Xenopus tropicalis: one gene and its partner. The protein of the gene in region 2 interacts with the protein of the main gene of each other region in a pairwise test. Links are inferred from orthologs where the notes say so. Each region holds a gene or a part of one and is shown on either strand. Other genes may lie near its edges. The genes, in order: timp-1 and cd63.

What was found.
Region 1: the proteins of cd63 (region 2) and timp-1 interact in binary tests that used the Homo sapiens proteins (3 or more experiments, as listed by UniProt). The link is inferred for Xenopus tropicalis from reciprocal best matches to the Homo sapiens genes CD63 and TIMP1.

Annotation. Positions count from the first base shown.
Region 1 is NC_030684.2:1,442,482-1,445,631, forward strand, and holds the end of timp-1 (uncharacterized protein LOC100135142 precursor), read right to left. Parts: intron 2,397-3,150; coding exon 2,275-2,396; intron 885-2,274; coding exon 666-884; 3' UTR 537-665; downstream 1-536. Other genes in the region: syn1 (synapsin-1), read left to right, coding at 176-265. UniProt on the Homo sapiens protein: Metalloproteinase inhibitor that functions by forming one to one complexes with target metalloproteinases, such as collagenases, and irreversibly inactivates them by binding to their catalytic zinc cofactor.
Region 2 is NC_030678.2:137,148,228-137,152,493, forward strand, and holds the start of cd63 (CD63 antigen), read right to left. Parts: upstream 2,911-4,266; 5' UTR 2,815-2,910; intron 2,327-2,814; 5' UTR 2,314-2,326; coding exon 2,248-2,313; intron 1-2,247. UniProt on the Homo sapiens protein: Functions as a cell surface receptor for TIMP1 and plays a role in the activation of cellular signaling cascades. Plays a role in the activation of ITGB1 and integrin signaling, leading to the activation of AKT, FAK/PTK2 and MAP kinases.

The DNA of each region.
Region 1 (3,150 bases), on a different chromosome or scaffold from region 2:
GGAGGGATCCCGGGTACTGATCCGTTTCTGTATGGGGGAGGGGGGGGGGGGATCCCGGGTACTGATCCGTTTCTGTATGGGGGAGGGGGGGGGGGGGATCCCGGGTACTGATCCATTTCTGTATGGGGGAGGGGGCAGTTATCCCGAGTTCTGATCCGTTTCCTTCTCTTTCCAGTTCTCCCAGTTGGTGCGGTTACACAGGAAGTTGGGGCCGGACGACTTCCCTCTCATAGAACAGACTTATTACCCCAACCATAAGGAGATGGTGAGTCACGGGGCGGCGGCGGCTGGGAGTCATTTCCCTGGGAATTAGCTGCCTGTGCTGTGACCTGAGTAGCCCTCTGGGTAGCCCCGCCCCCCTGGGTAGCCCCGCCCCCATACTCTCTATGCCATGGAATGTGCCCTCAAATCCCCTGCTGGGCAGCACACATGGGGCACGGGGAGCACTCAGGTAGATGGGGGGAGGCTTTGGGGGTACCCAGTATTCGGGACCCCCGTGTGTATAGAGTAAGGATATGCAGATGCTGGAGACATTGTACAAAAACCATAAAAAGACATTTATTTCCCCCGGTACAAAGGGGACGTGCACTCAAATGTACAAACCAACTCCTCCCCCTTAAAGTGGCCCCTCCCATTATCCCCCACGAAGCACCCCCCCCCCCAGGTTATTCTGCTGCGGAACCCGACGCTGCCGCCTTATTCCGGGCAGCGATGGCGCTGGGTTTCTGGGACTCCCACGAGCACAAACCGCTGCCCTGGTCCACACACGCCATGTACTTGGACTGGGACCCATTCAGGGGCTCCATCCAGTTCACCAGTACGTCGGTCCAAAGGCACTGGTTGTCGGACTCCAGGGAGCAGGTACCACTGTAGCAGGGCACAATCTGTAGGGGGGGGAAAGAAATGCCCAGTTACTATCAGCCAATAGAAATCCTCCCCTAGCGACCCACTCTAATGGGGGCAATAGGGATCTCATAGCTACTGCAGTACCAGTCCTGGGCACTAGGGGGAGCAGGTACCACTGTAGCAGGGCACAATCTGTAGGGGGGGGAAAGAAATGCCCAGTTACTATCAGCCAATGGAAATCCTCCCCTAGTGACCCACTCTAATGGGGGCAATAGGGATCTCATGGCTACTGCAGTACCAGTCCTGGGCACTAGGGGGAGCAGGTACCACTGTAGCAGGGCACAATCTGTAGGGGGGGGAAAGAAATGCCCAGTTACTATCAGCCAATGGAAATCCTCCCCTAGTGACCCACTCTAATGGGGGCAATAGGGATCTCATGGCTACTGCAGTACCAGTCCTGGGCACTAGGGGGGGGCAGGTACCGCTGTAGCAGGGCACAATCTGTAGGGGGAGGAGAGAAGTGCCCAGTTACTATCAGCCAATGGAAATCCTCCCCTAGTGACCCACTCTAATGGGGGCAATAGGGATCTCATAGCTACTGCAGTACCAGTCCTGGGCACTAGGGGGAGCAGGTACCACTGTAGCAGGGCACAATCTGTAGGGGGGGGGAGAGAAATGCCCAGTTACTATCAGCCAATGGAAATCCTCCCCTAGTGACCCACTCTAATGGGGGCAATAGGGATCTCATAGCTACTGCAGTACCAGTCCTGGGCACTAGGGGGGGCAGGTACCACTGTAGCAGGGCACAATCTGTAGGGGGGGGGAGAGAAATGCCCAGTTACTATCAGCCAATGGAAATCCTCCCCTAGTGACCCACTCTAATGGGGGCAATAGGGATCTCATAGCTACTGCAGTACCAGTCCTGGGCACTAGGGGGGGCAGGTACCACTGTAGCAGGGCACAATCTGTAGGGGGGGGAGAGAAGTGCCCAATTACTATCGGCCAATAGAAATCCTCCCCCAGCGACCCACTCTAATGGGGGCAATAGGGATCTCATAGCTACTGCAGTACCAGTCCTGGGCACTAGGGGGGGGCAGGTACCACTGTAGCAGGGCCCAATCTGTAGGGGGAGGAGAGAAGGGCCCAGTTATTATCGGCCAATAGAAATCCTCCCCTAGTGACCCACTCTAATGGGGGCAATAGGGATCTCATGGCTACTGCAGTACCAGTCCTGGGCACTAGGGGGAGCAGCTATATAGGTCAGCAAACAGAATGGGAAACTGCATGGCAAGACACAGGGGGGTTATGGGGGGAGGCTCACCCCTATTGGAGGGCACAATATAATATGGGCTGGTCAGTGAATAAAGAGAGGGTCCGGGTGGGGGCAAGACAGGATTGGGAGGGGTAACTTGCCCCACGGCTACTCACACTGCAGGAACAGGACTTGGGATAGACCTCCTGGAAGCCCTTCCTCTGGGCGACCGATAGTGAGGCCCAAGGAACGATGAAGTTGCACTGGTCGATTTGCAGGTTACCGTTCATCACGTGCCCTGGGCAGGGGCAATAAAGAGATTGGCATCAGGGGGCGTGTTGGTAGAGAGGCGGGGTTGATACTTGAGGGGGGCAGGGGATTGATACCAACCCCAGCAGGGCACATGGGGCATTCTCTTCACTGCAGCTGCCAATCACCCACTAACTGTTCCCCCTTCTGCCCCATCCTCTTCCTCCCTGTGCCACAGCCCTTACAGCATGGTGCTTGGGTGTTAGAGAGCGGGGCAGAGCTCTTACCTGTGATGAGGAACACCTACCCCCCCATCCCCTTCTGCTGCCCCATTCCCTTCCTCCCTGTGCCACAGCCCTTACAGCATAGTGCTTGGGTGTTAGAGAGCGGGGCAGAGCTCTTACCTGTGATGAGGAACACCTATCCCCCCCATCCCCTTCTGCTGCCCCATTCCCTTCCTCCCTGTGCCACAGCCCTTACAGCATAGTGCTTGGGTGTTAGAGAGCGGGGCAGAGCTCTCACCTGTGATGAGGAACACCTACCCCCCGTCCCCTTCTACTGCCCCATTCCCTTCCTCCCTGTGCCACAGCCCTCACAGTATAGTGCTTGGGTGTTAGAGAGCGGGGCAGAGCTCTTACCTGTGATGAGGAACCCCTATCCCCCCATCCCCTTCTGCTGCCCCATTCCCTTCCTCCCTGTGCCACAGCCCTCACAGTATAGTGCTTGGGTGTTAGAGAGCGGGGCAGAGCTCTCACCTGTGATGAGGAACCCCTATCCCCCCATCCCCTTCTGCTGCCCCATTC
Region 2 (4,266 bases):
ACTATGCAAGACTGCTAGCCACAGAAGGGACAGGGAATTGCTGGGTTCATAGAGATTGGCCATAACAAATAGAATAAAAGTAAACAATATCGGCCTTTCTGGCCAACGGGGCAAGAGGCAGACATGAGTGAAACTACGCTCTTGTAAGGCAGTTATCTTGAAAGAACAATAACGTAAGTCTTGCACCTATGGGTCTATCCGCCATACAGATTATATCATGTGCCACTGGCAGCACCGAGTGTCTTTTTAAAACCTGCTACAGGGTAATAACCATCAATTCAAAAAGGAGCATTCTGCCTACAATGCAACATGATTTTAAAAACTAGATGTCCTAAACTCATTAGGTTGTTGCTTTCATACAACCTACAAATAGTGTTACCACCTGGATAGTAGAATTATGCTTGATTTAATTGTTCCATGTAAGGAATAAAGATAATTTCCCCCCCTATAAAAGATGGCATCCCTACCTACGGGTCTCTAATTGTAGCTATGTACCAACCCTTTCTGTAAATAAGAATCTACTGTTTCACTGCCCACACAGTACCTAAAATAGGTGTACAAACCTTCATTAAATATTGACAAGATATCACAATGCATACGTGTATATATGAACATTTTAATCATACAAGGGCAAAGCCTTTCTGGGTAACCAACCAGGAAATCCTTCAGTTTGCTTAGTCTGTTTAAACACATATGATCGCATTTCATTTTAATTTTAATCTCAGCTTTCGATAATCTTGCCCCTCTCTCCTAAACGAACCAGTTAACGTAGTAACTGAGGTTGGGAAAACACTCTTCCATACCTCTCCCACTACCAGTACACATTTCAGCCCTGGTGAAAGGAGCACCATCAAACCTTGTGACCAGAAGTACTGTGTGGCCTTATCAGTTCTGTGTTCCACCAGAACTCAGATAGCTTTAGTCCCGCCTCTTAATAAAACAGATATACAAGAACCTTGTATAAGGTCAGTTCAAAAACATTAAAAATATGCAGGCAACTTTTCAAGAATTTCAAGAGTTAAAATGGGTGTGGTCCATAAAGATATGAAAGCCCCAAATAGTACTAAATGAGATATTATCTACTTATGATTCAAGAAAGGGATTGGGTTTCATAGAATCGTACAAGGAAAAGCAAAACCATTACTGTAATTAAAGGTAATATAGTCTTCATAAGTAAGGGGAGTGGCAGACTGGCCAATATACTAGTCCATAATAGTTCAAATCCCCTGTAAGCTTTAGGCCTCAGTCACACCTGTCATTTAAAAAAAAATATAACATTCTGGTTCTTTGAGCAGTCTGGGATCATATAGTCATCATTTACCATTTTTTACAAATAACTGTATTTTAATATCCTACCCAAATATTAAACAGGCCCTGGACTGTTAGGCAGTACTGCAGAGGGGTGTGAAGCCTACAGGGAATGATTTGGAGACCTTACAATTTCAGGGCAGTGCCCAGAGCACTTCCCTTGGCCAGAAGACTCCCAACAATGTATCCCATAAACATGCAAAGTGATACTATTTACTCACTGCAGCTGCAATGTATTTACAAAATCATTATCTGCCTGTAGGTGTGTATGGAGTTACATATTTATTTAGAAAGGCTTTAGAGAAATGTACCAAATTCCTCATAGCTGCTGCACAGCATATGTATTTTAAAAAAATAGTTGTTTTTTTTAGGACTAGCGATGGGATGCCTTCCATATGGTACTGAACTACAACTCCCAGAACCCAGCGACTTTTTGAACATCTGGAAAGCTAATGGTTGTGGTTGATCAGCTGAAGAGCTTGTTGAGCAGGGGGAATAAATCAAGCTGGAGCCGGAGAGTGCAGAATATTCACCCCAGGGCAACAGGCTGCACAGGTCACATGACTGTGTATAACCAGTCCGGGCAGCTGTTGCACACTAACTTGCCTCCCATGATAAGAGCGGGGGAGATTGAGTTAAGAGACAACAATCCTCCCCCCGTACCACTCTTTGATATAAATCAGTGCCAGCCCCCATGCCCGTGAGGCAGAAGCTGGCAAACACTCTGATCTAATATGGGCGAGTTAAGTTCTCTACTAGGAGATATCAGGGCTAGACTAGAGCACTAGATCAGCGGCTCTAAAGCTGTGGCCGAACTATAACATGCCACACTTTCCACCACTAACCCGGGATCATAGCAACAACCTCAGAGCCCCACGGAGCCTCCCACTGACTCAGCCCTTGGCCGCTGTTGGGATTGAGAAGTAGAAGTGGCCTTACCCAGAACACGAAGTTGAAGAAGAACATAAGGAACTTGACACATTTCATTCCCCCTTCCACCGCCATCCTGCCGCTCTGCCTGCAAGGGGAAATAGAGCTGCGATAAAGTAGAGTTTAGTGTGACCCCTCCCTGGGCAGCGCTCACTGCTGGATGTGTCCGACTAACAGCTGCGCCTCTGTGCGCTCCCTGGGATTTATACAGCAGCGCCTCCCCGCTAGCGCTCCCTGGGATTTATACAGCAGCGCCTCCCCGCTAGCGCTCCCTGGGATTTATACAGCAGCGCCTCCCCGCTAGCGCTCCCTGGGATTTATACTGCAGCGCCTCCCCGCTAGCGCTCCCTGGGATTTATACTGCAGCGCCTCCCCGCTAGCGCTCCCTGGGATTTATACAGCAGCGCCTCCCCGCTAGCGCTCCCTGGGATTGTACTCAGCGCCTCCCCGCTAGCGCTCCCTGGGATTTATACAGCAGCGCCTCCCCGCTAGCGCTCCCTGGGATTGTACTCAGCGCCTCCCCGCTAGCGCCCCCAACGCTCTCGTTGCCCCGCACCCTGCCTGCCCGCCCTTTACCTTTCTCGTTCTCCTCCCTGGTAACTTGCGGCGAGTGACTCTGCTGTGCTGCCTCTCTAGTCTGCGAAGTAACTCTCTGCCAGGCACTTACACCTCCCCCTCCCTAGCGCAACACTTCCTCCCCTTGTGATTACACGGAGGGCTGGCGCCATGTGACTCTGACATCACCATGACACAGGCTCCATAATGAGAATGTTTACCGAGGGTGGGCGGGCTGCTCCGGGGAACCCCCGAGTTTGGGTTAGGAAATGGGTGAGTGGGACAGGGGGGAGCTTGCTCATTCTCCTCATGTGCCTCACTTCCCAATAACAGGCTCTTGCACTCCCACTTCCTTTTCATTTACTTTTCGCAGGAACTCAACTTTCTAATAATTAGCCACGATGTGGAAGTTTAATGGGACCCAGGGCTTCAAACCACAACGCTGAAAAAGCAGTTTTTCTCATTTCCAACCTAGATTACCCTGTGGCAACTAAAATAACTACACGATTGGCTTTCCCTATACCTAAGGGACAAGTAAAGATTGCAGTAGAGCAGGGGTCAGTGTGGGACTGGCCCCCCAGGATACAAATAAAACTCCCAGTGGGCCCAGGTTTCAGTGGGCCCTCCTGCTCCTGACCATTTGGCCTACTTCATGGTCATTCCCTATTTCTGAATGGGAACAAAGGAAAAATGGATGGAAGGATAGATGCTAGAATGTAAGTAAAAATAATAGGAGAGGAAAGGAGGAAAAATATTTTGGAGAGTGGGCCCATAGTCTAAGGTATTCTGGTGGCTCCTGGGGTTCCAGCCCAACACTGGCAGGGGTGCCCAGACTTTGTCACCTTGTGATCTACTCTTGCCACCTAGCCTCCGCCATGAGATATACCACAGTTAAAATAGTGAGACGTCTATCATTTGGCGCAATAAGCAAAAAAAAATTCAATCTATGTTTAACAAATACACATAGCAATATATAAATGCAGTGCCAAATTCACATTTAACGCCCACATAATATTATTTAAGCGGCAACTTCAAGTTTAATGTGAAAGGATTGTAGTAGTTTTTACTTCCCTTCTTCATGGCCCACTTTGTAGTCTGCACACAGAAACATATATAAAGTGGGAACAAATATAATCAGCGGCCCAGTGGGGACAATCTTCTATACTGGGATGAAACTACAAAGAGGGATGGCTTAAGCAGCCGCACTCAAAGTCTCCAGTATGCTGGAGGGGAAAAAAGTGGCGGGATGTCATCCCATTGCATTCCACCTTGAGGTCTACCAGAAACTTTAAAGTGATCTACTGGTACTGATACTGCTTATTAATTAGTGTACATGGGTACAGGGCCACTTCAAATGAGACATTTTGTGTAAAAATCCATATAAAAATCAATACTCATAAATATAGAAGAAATGTGTTAAGTTTGGGGCTACTCGTTCCACCCATCTGTTTTGCCTCCTTATGTTGTGCAGAG